Caenorhabditis elegans: one gene and its partners. The protein of the gene in region 2 interacts with the protein of the main gene of each other region in a pairwise test. Each region holds a gene or a part of one and is shown on either strand. Other genes may lie near its edges. The genes, in order: plc-1, let-60 and lin-45.

What was found.
Region 1: the proteins of let-60 (region 2) and plc-1 interact in a two-hybrid assay, tested with the Caenorhabditis elegans proteins (one study listed by BioGRID).
Region 3: the proteins of let-60 (region 2) and lin-45 interact in a two-hybrid assay, tested with the Caenorhabditis elegans proteins (one study listed by BioGRID).

The regions. Positions count from the first base shown.
Region 1 is NC_003284.9:10,835,284-10,841,269, forward strand, and holds the start of plc-1 (Phosphoinositide phospholipase C), read right to left. Parts: upstream 3,368-5,986; coding exon 3,332-3,367; intron 1-3,331. UniProt on the Caenorhabditis elegans protein: The production of the second messenger molecules diacylglycerol (DAG) and inositol 1,4,5-trisphosphate (IP3) is mediated by activated phosphatidylinositol-specific phospholipase C enzymes. plc-1 is a bifunctional enzyme which also regulates small GTPases of the Ras superfamily through its Ras guanine-exchange factor (RasGEF) activity.
Region 2 is NC_003282.8:11,687,371-11,693,823, forward strand, and holds let-60 (Ras protein let-60), read right to left. Parts: upstream 3,719-6,453; 5' UTR 3,708-3,718; coding exon 3,579-3,707; intron 2,884-3,578; coding exon 2,689-2,883; intron 2,632-2,688; coding exon 2,461-2,631; intron 1,736-2,460; coding exon 1,676-1,735; 3' UTR 857-1,675; downstream 1-856. Other genes in the region: ZK792.5 (Nucleolar protein 9), read right to left, coding at 1-17, 457-747; ZK792.12 (CidA/LrgA family protein), read left to right, coding at 6,423-6,432. UniProt on the Caenorhabditis elegans protein: GTP-binding protein with GTPase activity. The level of let-60 controls the switch between vulval and hypodermal cell fates during C.elegans vulval induction. May stimulate the guanine nucleotide exchange factor (GEF) activity of rap-1.
Region 3 is NC_003282.8:6,741,879-6,750,825, forward strand, and holds lin-45 (Raf homolog serine/threonine-protein kinase), read right to left. Parts: upstream 6,547-8,947; coding exon 6,475-6,546; intron 5,937-6,474; exon of another isoform or gene 5,843-5,936; coding exon of another isoform or gene 5,822-5,842; intron 5,581-5,821; coding exon 5,410-5,580; intron 5,248-5,409; coding exon 5,065-5,247; intron 5,014-5,064; coding exon 4,891-5,013; intron 4,839-4,890; coding exon 4,578-4,838; intron 4,219-4,577; coding exon 3,919-4,218; intron 3,869-3,918; coding exon 3,745-3,868; intron 3,572-3,744; coding exon 3,357-3,571; intron 3,312-3,356; coding exon 3,189-3,311; intron 2,972-3,188; coding exon 2,713-2,971; intron 2,667-2,712; coding exon 2,570-2,666; intron 2,521-2,569; coding exon 2,109-2,520; intron 1,588-2,108; coding exon 1,360-1,587; 3' UTR 660-1,359; downstream 1-659. Other genes in the region: smg-7 (DNA/RNA-binding domain-containing protein), read right to left, coding at 79-426, 472-552. UniProt on the Caenorhabditis elegans protein: Protein kinase that participates in the induction of vulva and has roles in fertility and viability. Acts downstream of the Ras protein let-60. Required for progression of developing oocytes through the pachytene stage.

The DNA of each region.
Region 1 (5,986 bases), on a different chromosome or scaffold from region 2:
TATTTAGTTTGGTTAAAAACTATGGAAATAATTCCTACATCTAGTAAGTTCTTCATTTTATCATTTCTTTGCTTTCTCAAAAAAAAACAAATAAAAAGAAAAGGACATGTTTCCGTTCGGCTTTACTCTATGAGTTTTTGTGGCTTTAAAAAAACAGAAAAGGGAAACAACGAAAGGGAGAAAGAAATGAGAAGCTGAAAGCCGAGTACAGTGGAAATATGAAAACGTATCTCGAACAAAGTCGGCAAACTTATACTGCACTTTCCGTTTTAAAAACAAGGAATGGTGCTGCATGGCTTTTTCACTTGGTTCAGAATAAGTTCAGTTTCAGTTTTTTCCGTTTGTTTTCAATGACGCATCAAGGACAATGTTGAGATTAATTTTTTGTCCTCATCAGTCTTCAATCTCTTCGACACTTACTCGTTTTATTATCAAAAGAAAAATTATTGAGAAACACGGATTAGTGAATCCTCCTTATCTTTGGCTCGACTATTCTAATCCCTTAATACTAGTTCACCACAATTTTTCCAAATCACTGAAAAACGAAGCAATATTTGAGGGAAAGAAATGGGCGAAACTTCTTGTGTTCAAAAAAAATTTAGTCATAATTAATCTCAAATCAAAGTAGAGAAGTGAGTGCATAGAATTATGGTTTCTTTGAAATTTCTGTGATACGAAATGAAAAATTTGAATTTCAAACGGTGTTACTAACACCTGCTGAGAGAGAAAGAAAACGGACAGAAAACTAAAATAATATTAAAGCAAGAAAAAAATAGACTTCCAACAAGAAATGTTTATGCTTCATTGGACTTATCACGTAAAGGATATCACGCTTTCAGAAAGTACAAGATTTTTTTCGTAAAAAACCTTATCACCTAAGTTTACCATATTGTTTTAATAGTTGTGCACCGCATTACCATGCTGTGGTAAATTGGCCAATCTTTTGATTTAACAAGACCTTTATTGTTCATTGTTTATAGTTTTGGAAACACAAATGTGTTGAAGTACTTTTTTGAATTTTTGGCTTATTAGTTTCTAAACCTTAAAATAAATTCCTAATAGTTAAGTTTGCGTTAAACTTTTTTCATTGAAAAAAATCATTAAAAAAGGGCTCCGACTGAACACAAAAGCGAAAAATAAGCCAAACTATCCAAAACGTTTAGTTTTTAACATTAAATTGTACAAAAATTTCCAATAAAGCATTTGGATAGTTTCGATTTTCTAGAAAACAGTTTTTTTAGAAAACGACTTATCAGCTATAACTCAATTTTTTGAATTTCAAAAACTGTTAATAAGAAAGTTCATTTACAATTTTGCTTATGTTCAAAATTGTGGTTAGTTGTAATAAATATCCTACAAACACACAAAACATGTTTCCTAATTCAGATATTTGAAGTTGCAAATTTAAGTAGAATTTCGAAGAAGGTGAGAACCGATGGAATTGGTAAAATATGAGTCATAATAATTTTAGATTAAAATGGACTATTTAATTGTTTTGATATTTTTGGACATGGATCTGAACTTAAAGTCCAAAAAACGCCATTAGATTCATCAAAGGTTTCTTACAGCTGACTAAACTATTTTGCAAGCTGCAAGGTTCTACATCTATAAAACATATTCTATCCAAATAGACATGGTTACATCAAAACTTTTGTCAATGACGCGATTTGTTTTGCTAGAATCAGATCATCACAAACTGCACCAAATACAACAAGTTTCGTCTTTAATCAGGAAATGAGCAGAAAAGTACGAGAAAACGGAAACTTGTGGGGCTAATGTGCTGCACATGACACACTGCAGTACGTAATCTCGAACGAGAAAATGTGTTAAAAATTGGAAAGGAAGCGGGTGGAAAATGAAAAATGGGGGATGTGAAAGATTGAGTTTAGCGATAGAATATTGCCAAATGGGCAATCGGCAAACGCGGCACAGGAAGAACGTAATTCGAAAAAAAAAGAAATATTGAAAACAGAGAAAGAAAGATTTCAAAATTGATATAGGAGTATTATCTATGTTATGGCAAGTTATACGAGTATTGGCAGACCTCTGAAACAACTAATTTCCGGAGGAAAATAACGGAGAGAAGTTTCGAGTTTTAGCCTATTTTAGTGTTTTCAGAAAGACATGGACAGAATGCTCCAAAAAAAAAAAGAAGTGGTGAGCGGAACAAAAAACAATGAAATTACTTGTCCGGAATTCGATAATTAGGGGTTGTCTTATTTGAACGAAAATAAAATGTCGGCAGCTATGTGATATCTGACACTAGTAGCATTATCAACTTTTCTCATTTTTATTTAAACTACCGAAATAGTTTCCATTCAATCATATATAATTTTTAAAATTCAATATTAATATTTCTCAAAAAAAATTGTGTACAAAAGAAGAAGCCAGATTTATCGTGCTTCTTCCTGTGTTTTATCAATGAAAAGAATACCTTGTTCGTCATATCTCCCCCATATTCATGAATTAATCCCTTGATTCCAGCCCTAATCTCATTTTCCGCCAACTCCTCAGAATAAGTACAATGCAAAAGGGGGATGGAGTCGCAAAAGGGAAAGATGAGCTATCTGTTTTACTACTGTCCGATTGTTATCTTATAACTCCAATAAATAAAACAATTGACATGAAGAAAACAAACGGAACTTAGAAAGCTGAAATTTCTGAAGCAACATTCGACAATTTTGAATAATATTTATCAGTATTACGTTTGAAAATGAATATACATATTCAACCTTTTTCTATTTGGAAAAGTTGTATGTATTCCAGTTTTGAAAAAATGAAAGTAACGCTATGTTTTTTTGTATTTCATTTCCTTTTTAAACATTGGTGTGTGCACTTTTAGAATTACTGTAGAGATTTTGAGTGCACATCGTCACAATGTTATTTTTGTTTTTTTTTAAACATTCATTATGAACAATAAACAGAACCCGATTACATAAAATGCAGAATTTTTGGAAAAAAGGTGTAAATTAGGAACAAAAAAGAGACAACGGGAAAAAGAGATTTACGAACAAAATCTCTACAGTAATTTTAAAAGAGTACCCACAAATTTTAAAAATAAACTTGCCAAGACAAATCCGCAAAGAATGCGTGTAAAAAAATCTTGTTTGTAAACTTATTCTCACTATCACTCTTGTAGCTTCTTATAGGTAGCAACTGTGGAAATTGAATAAAGACTCGAAATTCAACTGATCAATCAATTAGTCGTTCGTAGCGTTCCTGGTTATTAGGAAATTTGTTTGATTTTGATTAATTTTACAAAATTAACTAAACAAATTTAAAACTATTTCAACCTGTTAAATCAGTTTTTTGCGTAAAACAAATAACTCACCGATGGAAATTTGTGTGATGCTTGGCGTAAGGACATCTCTCGAAGAATGTGTTGCAAGAACTGCGACAATGTCGATGATACACTCATTTTCTCCGGTATCCACTTTGACAGATTACTTTCTTTCTTTGGACAAATGAACTTTATGCACACAGAGGAGATGTCTTTCTGTGCATGGAAGAAAGAAAAACGAAGAAGAGAAGAATCCGACAACAAATTGCTCCGTGACACCAGTTTTGCATTATGTATGAGATTTGTGCACTTATTCTAATCAAAAACGTCGAGTTCAATCTCATTAATGTTTTACTACTTTGAAGAGTTGCGGCTTTTTCTTTTTCTTCGCGCAACTTTTCATGCTGAATTTGTTCCGATATTTTGTGTCCAGACTTCAATCATGCAGAAAAAGAACATGCAATTGCTTAAAAAATGAAAATATGCGTATCCGAAACCTTTTTGTAACATTATTAACTGTTTCTAGTTGGAACCAGTTATTTGTAAATTTACATTAACACTTTGATTTAAATTTTCAATCAGGGCACAACTGAGTTTTTTGTTATCTCGGTCAATCACCAAGTACCATTGCTTCTTAATTATCAATGAAAACTTGTTTAAGCCCAAATAGTTTTCTTTAAAAACTTTTGAATTGAACTGCTTTGCATCATACGGCAAAATTAAAAACTGTACGGTATCATATTGCCGACCATTCGAATGCAAAAAAGGCAATGTAGTTCGATATTTACTCGTTATTTATTTGTTATCTTCCAGCGGCATCTCAATTCAATTTTAATCAAACTCGTGAAATTCCACTTCATCTTCTTTTGCGCCAAGGGTGCTGATTGGCACATTTCTCCTGCGCTTGCACACATTGCGTGTAGAGCGAATTTTCATTCAGTCTTGGTCGGTAACAAAAGGCTCGAATATTATTGTATTTTCTTTGTTGGGTTCATGTGCTCAACTGTATCATCATGATGACATTTTTTGCGAACGAAATAACGCGGTAAAATACATATGGGCAAATGCTCTCCAAAGAAAGTTAAAAGGACTTCACGCCGTAGCGTGAAGTTCTCTTGCAGAAGTGCGGAATAATGGAACTGTCCAATTTAAGAATTATTTTTGCAATTTTGTTCGTTTTTTCGGGTCTTTTCAATTTTTTTCCAAAAAATTGCATAGAAGGTTTTGCGACCATTACGGCCAAAAATGAGAAAAACAATTGTTGTAAAAAGTGTTTAAACGTTGTTTAATTTTCTTTATCAAGTAACATCTCAACGATTAAAGTTTATAACAGCGAACCAAAATATTTAATATTGTGCAAAATGGGGTGTTCGCGTGAACAACTTTTGGACTTTTCTCAATCAGTGTACTCAAAAAAGGTATTCATATTCTCATTTCGTAATTGTTTATTTTCATTGAAGTGTTTGTCATTTTTTTTGTGAAACAAATTGAATACCCGAATTTGATTAAATAAAAATGGTCCGTTCGTTATAGTAATAAAATTTCTATTGGTTAAAAAATATTTAAAATATGAATTCGTAACGATTTATTTTATTGATTTTTTGTTGCTTTTAAATGAGAAATAGAAGCTGTTTATCATTAGAATACGCGGACTGATGCGTGATTTCTTCTATATGCGTTATCATTTCCATTAATGGATTTATTGGAAATTGGATGAGCGTGGGCAGGATGGCGTAGTGGTTAGCATGCGCCAGCGATATTGTGATTGATTGGGGATCACTCCCATCCTTGCCCGATTTTTTTGTTTTCGAAAATTGCTTTTAATCATTTCTCACTATCAGGAAATAGCTTGGTCAAAATCAGCCTCCTCCAGCACTCATAATTATTGGCACTTTCTGACTACTTGTTGTCGCAAGTTTTTTTCCGATAAAAATCACTTTTTTTTAATTTTTGTAAATATATTCATAGTTAACTCTAACTTTTTGACTCTAACTCTAACATTCGCCAATGAAAACATCGAAATCTCACTAAAATCAGGAATCCAGACAATCCAATGAAAAAAAAATACTATAAATCAATAAAACAATAGATAATCAGCTATTTTTGTTTGAAAAAACCTCAAAATCAATTAAACGTTGTAACTAATAATCCGTAAATCCAATTAGACAAAACCCAAAAACTCCCCTTTTCCGTCTAGATAGGGCTAGATAGTGCAAACCATGAGAGCGCAGACAGAAAATACAATTTCCAACAAAGAAGATCAACAAAAACTAAAGAAAAATCAGATATTTCTGATGAAAACTCAATACTAACGATCCTTAGCATAAGTTGATGCGAAGACCATTTGTTCGAACCACTACAAATTGAGTATCAGTTTGAAAAAAAAAACAATTTGAAATATAAATTTGAAAACAATTGCCATCACTTTGCTCGGAGAACGAGTTGTGAAGAGGTCGCGTCAAACTCAACGCTATTTTTGTTGTTTTAGTCACGGTTTTTGTAGACTTTTTGTATTAGGTAAAGAAAACATGAAAAGAATGTAAAAATCGCTGCAAATTTTTTTAGACAGTTGACTTCCAAAAAAAGTCAAAAACTGAGATTTTTTATGTTTAAAAATTATTAGGTCTCCAAATAAGTTCCGGGTCAAAAATCATAACTTTGTTCGCTGCGTATCGATTTTTATGAAACTTTGGGAGTTCCTGTTAT
Region 2 (6,453 bases):
CCAACTCGACCGTATTGCTGTAAATTAAATAAATATATACGTTTTTGTGGTAATTGCCTAGGGAGCGCTTTGGAGTTCATTTTATCGATTCTTCACAGAAAAAAGTCTCAATATATCGAATATAAATTTTTTAAAATTCAATTTCAAAAAAATACTGAAATATTTGTGAATTCCCGCGCTCATTTTTTCAGACAGTTTTTCGGAAAGAAACCTCGAAAATCCGAACGAAATTCGATAAAATGAAATTGGTCTAAAACCTATAATTCCACATTTTGAACAATTTTTGTCCAGGAAAATGACTAAAAAATTCAAAAATAATTCGGCTTTTTTTTATTTTTTGCAAAATAATACAAATTTTAGAAATGTTTTTAACTCGACATATCGAAACTTTTTCTGTAATTTTGAGTTTAAAAAGCCAGAGACGCTACATCACTCACGACACCATCTGACACAAACCTTCTCAAAATCTCCGGCACTGAATTCTCTGTTACCACCGAATCCTCTTCCACCACCACCACGTCCACCTCTATCATTTCTTCTAAATCCACCATCTCCTCCTCTTCCACGACCTCCTCCACCTCGATTTCCACTTCCAAATCGTTCATTTTTGGCTAGAAAAGTTCTGAAATTGTTTCTCTCCTCCTGTGGCTTCTTCTCAGCATCAGCAGCAGCATATCCGTATCCTTCAAATGAGTTTTTCGCTGGAGGATTCTCATCAGACTCTACATTTTTCCTTTTTCTCGTCATTCTAATAAATTAAATTTAGTTTTTTTTAAAATCATGCTCCGATGGCGAGGTCAAAATATAACACTGAAATTAACAAAATATAGTTGAATAGATTTAAAAAAATAATATTAGCTTTTTAAAATTTATATCATTGCAATACTTCCTTGAAAATAAAATAATAATAAAAACTTGATCAAAAGAATAGGAATATTATATTCAGATAGGACTATAAAATGTAGAGGAATAGAGAAAAATGAATGCAATACGAGGGAGCAAAAACTTTCAGATGTTCAGAAAATGTATGAGAAATGGGGTCTAATTGTATCTATATTATAGTTAATGAAAGAGAAATAATTACTTGACAAAAATGAGAGGAAACAGAGAAAAAATAAACGGAACGACCGGCAGATGCAAAAGAATTTAATTTTCAGAGAACTTCTGAAAATAGATGAGGCCAATAATTTGTATGAAAACGAGGAAGGGGAATAAAGCATCAAAAAAGCAATACAAACATTCTGAAAATATGCAGAGAAAGTGAAAAAAAAATGGTGCGATGTTTTTTTTGGTAGAGTTGGCCAATTTTGGAACGAGGAGGGGGTTCGGATGCATGTTTTAGATATGGATCACACACTACAGCTAGTTTTGACACCTATGAATGAATGGAGATTTGGGCTAAGCGAAAGATGAGGAATTAGAATGAAGGATGAAGAAAAAAAAGGAGAAAAAATAATGACGAGCAGACGAGAGAACAAGTTCAATCGATGCATAGAGAAAAAAAGGTGGAAATTCGAAGAGTATGTAGAGGCGGAAGAGGATCGATCACAAGTTTCAGATAAAACAGATAAATGAATAATGAAAATGTACCAAAAAAGTACGAGAAAGGATAATTGGGTGGGAGTTGACACGACTGAAAATGAGTTGGCGAAATTGGGCAATTCCCGACGCTGAATCACATTATTTGACACTTCTTCTTCTTTTGTGGCTTATTATTGTCGTGACGCTCACGATGCTGAAATAAAAAGAAAACATTATTAAATCTTTCGGATATCAATCTAGGGTGTCATCAAAATTTTTTTTAGAAAATTAACAATAAAACTCAATTTTTTATCAGATTTTGTGCATGCTGGTGAGAAAAAAAACAAAAGAAAACATATAATTTTCTTTAAAAATTAAGAAAATGACCAAAACTTTGAGCTTTTGTTTCGAAATATCGGAAAAACTTACATTTTTCGTTTTTAGTGAAAAATGGAAACTTGAAACTGTTGATAACAATAATAACATTTTAGAGCTTTACAAAACAGAAAATTTTTAAAAACAACGTTTTTGTATTACTCAAATGCAACATTTGGCGATTTTCAAATTAAAGATGCGGTGCCCGGTCTCGACACGATGAATTTGTGTTAAATGCAAACGTATGTGCGCCTTTAAAGAATACAGTAACTTTAATATTTCGTTTCTGGGGTAATTTTCACCGATTTATTAAAACTGCTGTGTTTTTAAATATTTTTATAATATCGAAAACTTAAAAAAATTGATGAAAATTCCGCTGTAACGACAGTATAAAGTTACCATAATATTTGAAGGAGCAAATCGAACAGACCGGGTGTCGTATTTTTGGCGCGAAAATATCAAAATCTCGCGTCTTTCAATTTTCATATAATAATGACTGAATTTGTACCTTAATTGTACATTAAAAACATTATTTTTAATTTAAATTTTTAACTAAAAAATTACCTTGCGAATTTCTCTAACAAGTGTGTAAAATGCTTCATCAACTCCCATACGCGTTTTGGCAGATGTGTCGACATTCGGAATACCGTAACCCTTTGCTGTCTCACTGACTGTTCGGAAGTCGACTGATCGAGATGACAAATCACATTTATTCCCTACCAAGACCATAGGAACCTAGAAGAAATACAAATATTCAACCATTGACTGATAATTTCAACAAAAAAAACTCACATCATCTGAATCCTTTACCCTCCGAATCTGCTCGCGGTAGTTAGCGACATTCTCGAAAGATTTAGCCTCGTTGACGGCGAAAACCAACAGAAATCCTTCGCCTGTCCTCATGTACTGATCACGCATCGCCGAATATTCTTCTTGTCCGGCGGTATCCAATATGTCGAGGAGGCATGTCTCACCGTCTATCACAACCTGAAATTAGAATATTTAAAAACTAGCTCTCGGAGCAATTTTTAAAACTGAAAAACTATTTTTACTGGTTAAAAACTCAAATGAAAACACTGAAAATTAGGGCTCAATAATATTCTGAATTTCAGAGTTTAAAGATGAATATACGTTTAAAAAAATTTATACTCCTCACACGACACGAGCAGGCATGCTGGTTTATCGATTTGCTTTAAAAAAACAAAAAATCTAAAAAAAAGTTTTGGGCCCTTTCTCAAAAAAAAAGTGAAATTTCTGTTTTTTGTATAAAACGTAAAACGGAATGTAATTATTGAAATTCGTCTGAGAAATATCGATTTTGGAGTGTTTTCAGAATTTTTCCGGTTTTTGCAAAAACTAAAATTTTCGGTTTTCCAATTTTTTTTTGTGAGAATTTTCGGGGGACAATGAAAAATCATGATTCGAGCCATTTTTTTCAGTTCCAGCCATTTTATAATGTCGTGTCCAAAACACGAAAAATTGGTTTTTTTTCGAAAATTTCGGAATTTTTCGTGTTTCAGCACGATTTATTCGTCTTTGGAATCAATTAAACAGCTCGATGTGTTTCAAAAAACTTCCAAACTTCTGACTCATCGTTTTTTTGTTCAATTTCAAATGCCATCATTTTCGTTCAATTTGCTCCCACCACATGTGTGTAGCGGATGTTCCCAATGATTTCTCACCTGCTTTCTGTAGCTGTCCTCTATGGTCGGGTCGTATTCTTCGACAAAGTGATTCTGGATGAGTTGAATGGTGAGTGCTGATTTACCAACTCCTCCATCTCCAACTACCACAAGCTTGTACTCCGTCATTACCCTTTTCTGAAAAAAGACGCATAGTTGAATATGGAAAAATGTAAAATAGAGATGGAAATGAGAAAACGAAGTGGAGAAGGATTTCTGTGGGAGCACTGCCAAAGAGCAGCTCTGCCTATCGGCATACTCAGAATTCCGTTTCTTTTTTTTTTCAAAAAAAAGTTTCGATAAAGGAGAGTAACTACCAGGAAAGAAATAAAAAACCGATGATGACTACTTGAGAATAATTGAGAAGATAGAAAAAGAATGAACTTTCCTGTTAATAAACTAGGTGGTGAGTCGGAATGAGTAACTATTTGAAGACGACGGAGAATGAGTCATTACAATTTGAAAAAAAGAAGAATTCAAATAGTTTGAGTAATTTTGAACTTTAAAAAATGGGGTAATGCAATTATTAAAAAAAAAACCAGGAGAAAAAAGGTCTTCACTTCATCAAAAATTGATTTCAAAGCGATGAAGAAAAAGGGGGACAATATAATGTTAAAATCGGTGAGACGGCGGACAGTGGTGCGACCCGACCACTTATTGTCGCTGACAAATGGCTCGAATCGTCGTTTTTTTTCGTCGGTTTCTTTTCGGTCGCCCTCAGTGTCGAGTGGGTCTCTTTCATTTTTCTTTTTCACTTTTCCAATACAAAATTCTCCGATCTCTCGTTAAAAGATTGCAGAGATTGAGACGTAGAGAAGTAAAGTTTTCCTGACAAGCATTTTTCACAAGGAAACAAATAAATTTACGAAATTCAGTTAGAAAGTTTTTAAAAAAACGTTCAATTTTACTTTGTTAAATATAAATTGTTTAAAGAAGTAGCATGTTTAAGAAACAATGATTCCCGTAGGAACTATAAGCAAAAACTGACAAAAAAGAATAATGAACTTACGAAATCACTCATCTCAACTATTTCAGAAGTTGAGAGATGAGAGATAGGAAGGAAAAAGAAGACGTTAGGATTAGTAAGACCGGAAAAGAAGACTGCCCCTTCTCTCACTCTGCATTTTTTTTTCTTCCACACTACTTTAATCCTATCACACAATTTGGGATGCGTTGCTCCATCTTTTCTATCTTCTCATTTGGTTGAACCAAGGAGCGGGTGCGTGCCTAATAAAATGGATTAAGCTAAAGACGAATAGAGAGATGAACTCGGGAGGAGAAAATAAATAGGCAGAAAACGCTTCAAGTGCAAGATTCTGAAGAATTCTTCTTCCTTCTGATGATGGAGACGAGAAATGAAGTTCATAGGAAAAGAAATCCGAGGCTCTGGAGTGCACAGAAGCACAGAAACCACACACTCTCTCTTTCTTTCTTTTTTATCTCTTTCTCTCGCACCCCCCATACACACACACAAAGTAAGAGTAAAAGATAAAGGAGTGCGGTCCCCACCATGCCGCTGCTACTGCTGCTACTGCTACGGCGGGACAATTAGAGAGCACTAGAAACGGTGATGCATAGACACGAACGACCGCGACGCGACAGCCGCTACGCTTTTGACGGTTTTGCGACGACTGTTGGGAGAAGAGACAAGAAGTGAGCGTGTGTGAGACGAAACAAGTGTGATTTGTAAAAGAGAAAAAGAGTGAGAGAAAAGAACTGTCCACTTTCTTTTTGTATCGACCCATCCCTATCTGTTTCTGACGATAACGACGACGACGAAGGATGGTGATAACGATGAATTGAATTATTTAATGGAACGCATGCAATTTTCGTTTCTAGCAAAGGCGGTGGTCTCTTTTTGAAAAAAAAAAACTATTTCCGCCGACGTTAAGTGCTTGAGATTCTTTCTGTCCAATTGAAATCCTCTAAAAAATAGTTCAAGAATTTGAGGAATTCGATTCAAATTGTCTAAGTGCTTTTCTTTGAATGTCCAGTAGATTTATATTTGAATTTTCTTTGTTAATCTACTTTGGGAATTTCTAAAAATGTTTGCTCCCAAATAATCTAGAATAACTTAGGATTTTTAGAAAAAGTTATGACATAACTGAGACAAAAAGAATTACAAATTGCATGAAATATGCCAAGAACGAGAAAACTTGATACTTTTTGAACAATTTTTGCAAAATATATAATTATCGTGGTATTTATTTAGTTTGAAAATAGTGGTGTCAACAAGAAATGACACATACTTTCCAGTAGAATTTGATATTAAAATATATTGAAATGAGCAACTAGAGGAAATGAAAACCTGAAAACAGATATTTCATTATTGAATTTTCGAAACGGTTAGTTTTCAACTAATCTAACAGTTTTATAAACTTCAAGTTTTCTCAAAAATAATATTAGATATGCAAACTTTTTTCAAACATGGCTTCGATAACGTCTTGAATTTTCACAAAAAGTCACATTTAATTTGGAAATTCGGCATTTTTTCCACAGACTTTTCCACAGTTTCAATACGTTTGGTAGGTAAAAATTATGATGGAAATATACCATTCTCAACAGTGTATTTTTAAATAAAAGTTTTTCCTCGGTAGTCTGGAAAAAAAATATATTAAAAGTTGCTTGAAATGTGCCATGAAAACACGAACTTGTGACTTTTTGGAACAATTTTCACCAAACATTATAATTTTAGTGATATTTAGTTTTAAAATAGGGCTGTCAACAAGAAATAAGCCACACTTTCAATTAAAATATGTTGAAATATGCAACGAAAACACCCACTTCAATAGGATCCAAAATTAGAGACTCAAAAAATATCTACGAGCGCGGAAAGAGAAGACGATGGAGCACAGTGAGTCGAAAGAAAGAAACT
Region 3 (8,947 bases), 4.9 Mb from region 2:
TGTTGGATCAACTTCGAAAAACGAAAAACAAATTTTGACATCATTGTTTCCAAAATTATGAAAAAATTTCAAAACTACCTTATATCTCATTAAATCTCCCATTCTTAACAGAACATAAGCCATGAACACTCGACTATTCTTTTTCGACTTGATAGGTTTTCTGTTTAGAAATACATCTGGTGTCCATGTTAATTGTTTTGAGATATCGTTTCCATAATTTGGAATTTCATAATGATAATGAACAAGAAGTGATAAATCAGTCAAAAATCCAATTGCAAGATTTTGAACATTATGATTAACAAGTCGATCATTTTCCATTGCTTTTGTTATTTCATCCATCATTGATTTCAGTTTATTCCAGAATTTTACATCGAATCTTTTGGATACAGCAGTTTCGAAGTCAGCGACAAACATTTTCATTAAATGCTGGAATTATTCTCATTTCGATAAATCAACACCTCTCAATCTTACTCTCAAATACTGTGGTGCAGCTTCGGTGCCACGTGGAATTTTTCTCAACTCTACAGTAAGCTGTTCCCATTCGTCCGACATCCTGTGGAATCCTCTGGAACAAAATTGTTTTGTTTTTTTTTCAAATTTTAAAATATTAATCTGAAATCCTACACTTTTTCTAGCCACTCAAAAGAAGAAACAGGAAGTCAGGCGAAAAATTATTTTATCTTCAACTTTTTTTGTTTGCAAAAATTAAATGATTCAAATAACCCGGTTCAGAAAAGGAATGGGGATGCTGCATTTTGAAATTAAAATAAATGGAAGTTTCAAAATGTGTTCGAAATGACAAAAACAAAACGGATAGGCATTGGATTCTATATAATTCTATACATACAGAGAATCTTTGGGATGTTTGGAAACGGAAATGGGGTGGGAACATTGAAAACTTATCAAAAGAAACGTTTTCAATAAAAAGCATTATAGTTGGAAAAGAAAAAGTTCTACCGGTTTAGCCGAAACAAAAATATGAAAATTATCACAATTTCACATGGGGGAACGATTGCAGGCGGACTTAGACTGGAAAGAAAGTATTTTGGTGGGATTTTTAAGTTTTGGAGGAAACGGTGAATACGGGGTTAAAATAATAATAATAATATCGGGATGGGTGATGAGGGGGTGAATAATAGAACAGGATTCAATGTGACGAGAAATGATTAGTAAAATAACGATGGGCGAGATTATTCTTCGACTGGAAGTTTTTTGGTTAGTGTACACATGGGGTAGGGAAAATCACTGGGAAGAATAGAAAAAAGAGAGAAAATAAAGGTACATATTCGGGGAGAGACGAGAAAATCAACTAAAAAGTTGCAGTGTCCCTTGATTTTCAAAAAAAAAAACAAAATAAAACTAAATGAGACCATAGACATTGTAGTATGCCTTCTTGTTAGCAGCGGCCGCTGCTGCTGCTGATTGTGGGGTTTTTGCAGTTGCAGGTGGAATATATGACCAGGAAAGCATTTGGCTTCTCATTACAGCATCCATCACCGAATATTGCGAGTCTAAGTGAAGAACATTCGGAGCTGATTGAGAACGAGTCAATTTTGGAAGAATTATGTCGCGAAGTCGTTCGAGAACCTGAAAAATTGGAATTCATTCATTAAAATTTATTTAAAAATCAAACTACAATATTTTTTTGGATTTTTCAGTGTAGTGGAGTTATTCATGAGCGAAAAAAATGTTTTTAAAAAATACATCGATTTCTTAAAAGCATGTTTTTATCCATTTTTCGACAGCGTCAAAGAGTGAAAAATCAAAGGAAGCCACCATATTTAGACAAAACTGCCAATTTTAAATGTGAAAAAAAAGAGCGAAAATGTGTGAAGTACTGGAAGAAAATAAATTCCGAATTGTCCTCGCGGTGTACACGGGGAGAACGCCCAGCTCGTAAATTTACACAACTTTTGAAGAGACATAGTCATATGAAAACGTATGGTCTCGCCGCATGGCGGCTTACTGTAGTTTTTCGCTCGTCGACGCTGTCGAAACATGTACAAAGTACAAAAAATCGATTTTTTAAAAGTTTTTTGACACTCATGAATAACCCCATAATAAATCATAGTTCTACCAAATTTCTAAAGTCGGTATTTCCCACTCACCTCTCCAAATACTGGCCGCTCATTTCTATCGAACATAATGCAATTGTCATATAATTTGAGCATGCTCTTCGGCGTATCATGTCGAATTTTCGATCTATCCGGCCTCAAATACCCTCTTCCAACCATAAACAATATCTGATCTCGATTATTAATGTTGGAGTATGGTAGATGCGAAGATAGAATTTCGTACATGCATATTCCAAAAGAATACACATCAGACTGTGGGGTATATGGATTATCATCTTGCATTCTGATGACTTCAGGTGCCATCCAGAGAATACTTCCTGTTGGTTGTTGTTGCTGTTGACCTCCGTTCACTGTCCATTTCGTTTTGACAGTTGCCAAGCCGAAATCTCCAATTTTTACCGTTGACATGTCATCCATAAGGAATATATTGTTCGTTTTCAAGTCACTGAAATGTTTTAAACATTTAAACATAAATTATAGATATGGTCAGTTACCGATGAATAATATTTTTTGAATGTAAATAATTCATTCCAAGAGACACTTGCTTCAGTATATCAATGATAGCACCCATTTCAAATTCGACGCGTGGCTCTGAAAATTATTAAATTATAAGAATTAAAATCTCAGTTCAGATCACCTTGAACATGAATATGTCTATACAAACTCGATCCTTCACACCATTGAGTAATAATTGCAATTTCTGGTTCTCGAACCCATCCCATAAACAGCAAAACATTCAAATGACGTGTTTTCTTTAAAACTGCAACTTCATTTTTAAAGGCTGCCATTTGAGAAGGCGTCGGATCAACAACATTCAGCTTTTTTATAGCAACAGTTCCGAAGAATTCTCCACGATAGACGGTACCGAAGGATCCCGAACCAACTTTGTATTGAATCTAAAAGAATGCTTGTTTTAATAGTTTTGACAGAAGTTTTGAGCGTTTTTTTATTGCTTCAACTGTAAAAAAAAAAGCTATTTTCAGATAAATAAAATGTTTTTTTTCTATATTCGATCACTGAATTTAAATGAAAAAAATTAGGATAACATGCTCCTTTTGTAGAACTGCCGGTTTGCAAAAGCCGTGCACCCTTGCTGATGTAGAATAAACTTACAATAAATTCATTCGGCAATATTTCCCAATCCTCATGATGTGGTTTCTGTGGCGGCCTGGGTCGTTGTGCATCAAGTCGTTCGCCTGGCGATCGACTACGATTTCGGAAGAAACCAGGTGAAATCTAAACATTTTTAATTGAAGAAAAATAGATTTTTTTGAATTCTACCTTCTGAGGAGGTGCTGATTGTGGTGGTGTTAATGGGAGAGTATGCAAATGAGCGGCTACTAATGATGACGTCGTTGATCCTGATACATTCGGGGATTGTCCAAGAGTAGGTTGTCCGATTAAGCCACCTGGAGGTGATGAACATGTAGATGAAGGAGAATTCGAGCCAAGAGGAGTACAGTCAACAAGTGGGTGAAGACGATTCATTCGAGCTCCTGAATAATTGAGAATAAGTGAAATTAAAATAATTAGAGTCGTTTGGGAAATTCTTGAAGGTGGAATAGAGTAAAAATTGTTTTTATAACTTTAGAAAAACGTCTTAAATTTGGAATTTTGTTTTTCTTCCCTGACCTTTTGACGAATCGTTATGTTTTCTGTTTTCGATTACCTGACAAAATATGTCCACTCTGGAAATGAGGTCGATGACGTGCTTGTGTTGAAAGTAACGATCCAGTTTTATCTCGTGATTCTTCTTCTAATCGCTGAGCTTCCAATGCATCAAGAATTCTTTGCTGAAAATAATACATTTTAGACTTTTTCTTTTAAAATTGGTGACTATTACATTATGTTGAACTGTTGCCTCATCATTAATCGCATTGATATTCGGAGCAGAAGAGCTCCGATCCCGTGGATAAGGTCCGGATGGAGATAATTGAGATGTTTCATTCTGTGGAGAAACAGCCATTGGATGTCTTTTGACACCACCCGTTCGTTTAATACTCGTCAAATCTGGATGAGAACTGTCTGGTGTGGCAGCTGGACTTTGTCCACTCGTTGGAGCTAGATTAGCAAGAACTATTTCGGCAACTGATCTATCTGGGCCTTCGACTTGTGATGCGATCCCAAAGAGTTCTTTCACTAGCTGAAAATTAAATGTTTTAGATAAGAATTGTTTCTGAAGCAGAGGTGAGCAATTACGCCATGTTGTTCCAACATTTTTCATTAAAAATCAGTGTAAAAAATATATAGAACCACCTTAATTATCTAATGATAACTTTTAATTATGTTTAAACATCTATGAAAATGCACAAAAATGACCTAGAAGTTGCGAATTGCCTATGGCAAATGGCCATTATTGTGCATTTTCACAGATCTTTAAACATAATTAAAAGTTGTCATTAGATAAATAATGTGGTTTTCTATATTTCGACGTTAATGACAAATGTTGGGACAACATTGGTAATTTTGTAATATTGCCGCCCGCCTTTGTTCTGAACGCACATCTTCATTTTTCGGTACAGATTGTAACAAATCGCAATAAAGTGGTGCAAACGATGAGCATCTTTGATGAAATTTGAATTGACAAAATTCACATCGAAATCCCATCATCCAGATAGGATTATTGCATACATCACATGATTTCGGTGGAATAAACGTTCTTCGAACAATTGCATGTTTAATCGATGAGACTGTATTCAGATATTCTGAATGAACCCATAATTCATTTCCAGGCAGTCGGGATGCGATCTCTTCCATTGTCAGCTGAAAATATTCAAAAATAAGAATTATGCTGTTAGATTCCAGTAAATCACACCGATAATTCAATAGATTCTTGTTTTGGGTCAGATGACGCGTTCACGTGACATAATTGAGGTGTGATATTCCGTTTTTTGAGCAATTTCGAAATGGCATCCCGCGCGGTTTCACCGGGACGAACCTGAACAAAATGTGCTTATTTTCTTCGTTTCACAGTGAATTTTTTGCTTACTTCAACCCTAGAATGTTGATCAAATGGCAAATGAACCATAATCATTTTGTATTTGAATTTTGGCGGTTCCTTGTCACTTGTTCCTGCTCCTCCAGCGGAATGATGTCCAGATAACGAATGAAGACTATCACTGTGCTTTGGATAAAGAGGAGTTGAAGGACTTGCCATCGGCGAAGCTTGATCCTGAAAATAATTATGAGTTACATATAAATATTTAATTGATAATCTTTGGAATGAGAAGTGGACGCTTGATTCTGAATTGAATAGATTAACACGATTCCCCACAAGTAACATGTAATTAGTGTTAAAAAATTCAAGACAAAGGATTCGTTGCTAATTTTCTACCTTCCGATCAATAGATGAAGAAGCACATCTCGGCAGACTTATAAGCCGCGGAGATGGGCAATGTGGGCTCGTCGGGGTGGTCGACGCCGATGACTTTTTGAAATTAATCCGACTCATTCGGCGGCGTGTCGACGATGATGATGGCGTTTGAGATGATGTGACAGGTGACTTCTAAATTGCTGTTAGTGATTACATGTAATTAAAAAACAAAAGGACAATTTGGACGAGTAAAACATTAAACACGGACTTTTAAAGGACATTTGAGAAATCAGAACAAGCAATAAGTAAATTACTTTTCAGATGCTCTATTTTATTATTGTGAAGCACTTTTTAAAACAATCTGAACAAATAAATGTTTCCCTTTAGCATTTTTCACTTTCATTTTATTTGTGGAAAACGTTCGAAAACACACCGTTTCGCGAGAGCATTCCATGTGAAAATTGCAGTTAATTCCAAAATAAAATAAACCAGAAAATCAATATATTCGCAGATAGAAGGTCAACAAAAGAAAGAGAGCGGCGGTAAGGGGCGCAAAGATGATTTTTTTCTTTTCCGAGAAGAGTACACGGAGGGAGTTAGTCCGCGGGCCGAACACACTTTTCTCTTCCATTTTCGCGCAGAAGATTTTAACCCAGATTTTGCAGGGTTTATTAGAATTTTCAAATAATAAGGACAGCGTTGCGCTCGGTTATATGAATTTATGTAGATGGAGTGAAGCTTTAAATAAATCTATTATTAATGGAAATATGGAATACGTTTATTTTCATTAGTTGATAAATTAACTTTTCAAATCTACAGTAACTCGATAGCTGAAAAGAAAAGTTAAAACTTGTATTGAAAAAGATGTTACGAATGAAACGTGGGATTCCCATGTTCAAAAAAGGAATCACGAATGTTCAATTTGCTGGCCAATTAAACAATTGTGTTCGCAAAGTTTTAAATGCAATCGTGTATTTTCTCAATACAGAAGCCCCGCGGGTTGCTTCATAAAGTCATTTGATTATTCAAATATCACTATGATTTCACAGAGTGTACCCTATTGATTTAAATCAGTTTTCAACTTACTGGTGCCGATTTCCGACGATTCCAGCCTCCATGAAAGTGACAAACTGAATACAGTACAGCCATTGCAGACATTTTAAAATGTTATGTGATCAATTATGGAATATAATTATCTCCAGATAACTTTAGAAGAATTTCAGAAAGTAAAAATATATTGTTAACAGGGGCCCCTTTGGATCCAATGGTTCTCTTCACACACAAAAAAAGAGAGGCGGGGTTTGTTTTCGCCATCTATTTTTTCTCACTGGTTTCTGTGCTCTGATCGAGAGAGATAGAAAAAGAGAGCAAAGAAAAAGAAACGTGTAAATCGGGAGCGACACGTGCCACGAATAGGTTGACAATGTTTTCAGCGTTGGGTCTTAACACGAAACAGATGACCTTAGTTTGTGAAGAGAGCAGCAAGTTGATTTGAAGAAACAAGGTCATACGTGACAAAACACAAACTAGAAAAGAATATATTCGAAAAAAACCACTAATCAAATTATAAAAGAAGGAACTAGATGACATTTGGTTAATAAGCTACTTCTAGTTAGTACACCCCGAATTAGCTGTGAAAGTTGAAAAAACGGGAAAAGTTTATCTGAAACTGACAGACTAGACAAATGTCTGTGACATATTGCAACTAAGATTTTGCAGAATGTGGACATTTTTGAGAAAAAAGGGATTACATGACTCAACTGATTACCTTTACGTTATGGTAATTTTCAAATTTTCTGAAAAGTGAACTGATCTGTTAAGATTGGTCTTGCCACGAAAAAATAGTTCATTCTAGGATTTAGAAAAATTTGGTATCATTTGCTTCCTTGGAATCAACTTAACTTAAGTATTACTTATCAACTTATTATCTTAACATTTGTCAACTTTACCACTTTTAAACAGTTATTTTGAAACTAAATTTTCGAAAGTTGGAAAGCAGAATAAAAGCAGCTGGCATCACGGAGATTAAAACATATGTCTTAATGTGTTTTCTCGCGACGAGACCCATCTGAGTTGATACATGTTTTGAGGAATAAGCGTGAGTCTAAAAATCTATTTTGAAAAATCTATGAAAAAAATCCAAATTCTACGAATAAAAATCAATGGGATCGCGCATCAAATGTGTTTTGTTCGTTCCGCCTCTTCATTCCACTCTATTCTCATCTTTTTCCGCCAATTTCCACTTGAAAAGTGCGAACAATTCCTCAAAAAAGAAACAAAATACACTATATTCCACATCAAAGAGGTCATTTTTCTATCAAATATTTGTTTTGGTTTATCAAAAAGATTGAGGTTCTAAAGATTATTATTAAAAGTTTTAAATAAACAAACTACGAAAGCATTATTTTGATCTAATGTTGACTATACAAAACTTTTTCAAATTTCTTTGATCACTAGAATTTCAAAAAAAAACCTATTTCAGTATAATTGTAGTTCGCAAAATAACAATTATTTTCATTTTAATGTGAGATATCGTAGTTCTTAATATAGATTTTCAACAGAAATTCAGAAATTTGGCTTCATCGAAATTAACTTTGAATCGTACATTGGGACGTCCTGTCTTCAGAAATTTTCAGCCGACATGCTCAAACGAGCTCCAAAAAAGTTTAAAAGTATCTATTGCAAGGTTTTCGCCAGCTTTAGAAATTAACACCAAATCTACCTCTACAGTTAAAAGTTTAAGAGCATTGGACATTTCAAATTGAACGCTATTCAAAGATTATAATCAAAGATTATAATCGAAAAATCGATTTTTCGATTTTAAACTAGATCCCTTGAAACAGTGAAAAAATTTCTATGTTTAGTCGCTCAAAAACCTCTTCATACTCTGTGTGCTCGTTGTACTCAAAGTTTGTCTTTTTACTACATTTTGTATAGTTCGATTGCTTTTCCTTCCTCCTTTCCATCTTTCCCTTCTTGCTCTTTTGCTCCTTCTGGTCACCAAAAACATCATGATCATTGATTTTCTCAGCTTCTCTGAGTATCTTGAACTCTACTGATCTTAAATCAGTTCGGTGCAAAAGAAAACGAGAAAGAAATGAAGAAAAAGAAGAAGATATATGTGTATGTGATATATTTATTGTTTGAGTGATTTAGTGACAACAAGACTCGGCTGACTTTTGAACTAGTTTTTAGGGGGCTCTAGTTATAGATCAACTGTAGATAATACTAGAAGTGGGCGCATGATGCACACATCGCCAACAAAATCTGGTCAACAAATAAGTTTTGACATATTTTGTAAGTTTACGATTTGTCTGAAATTTTGTATGGGCTACTTACATATAGTGTGCAGTTAGTATATACAAGCCTACAAGTTTTAGCTAAGCTTCTTGGTACTTTGTTCTGAAAATATGTAACATTACTAATTTTTTTGCGATATTTTGGATTAGGCCTTTGAGTTTTGATGTTAAGTAATAACTAAATCAATTATGTTTTGTTCGTAGATGAGAAAAATTCATCACAACATTTCATCAAAATTGGACCACACACACAGAAATTT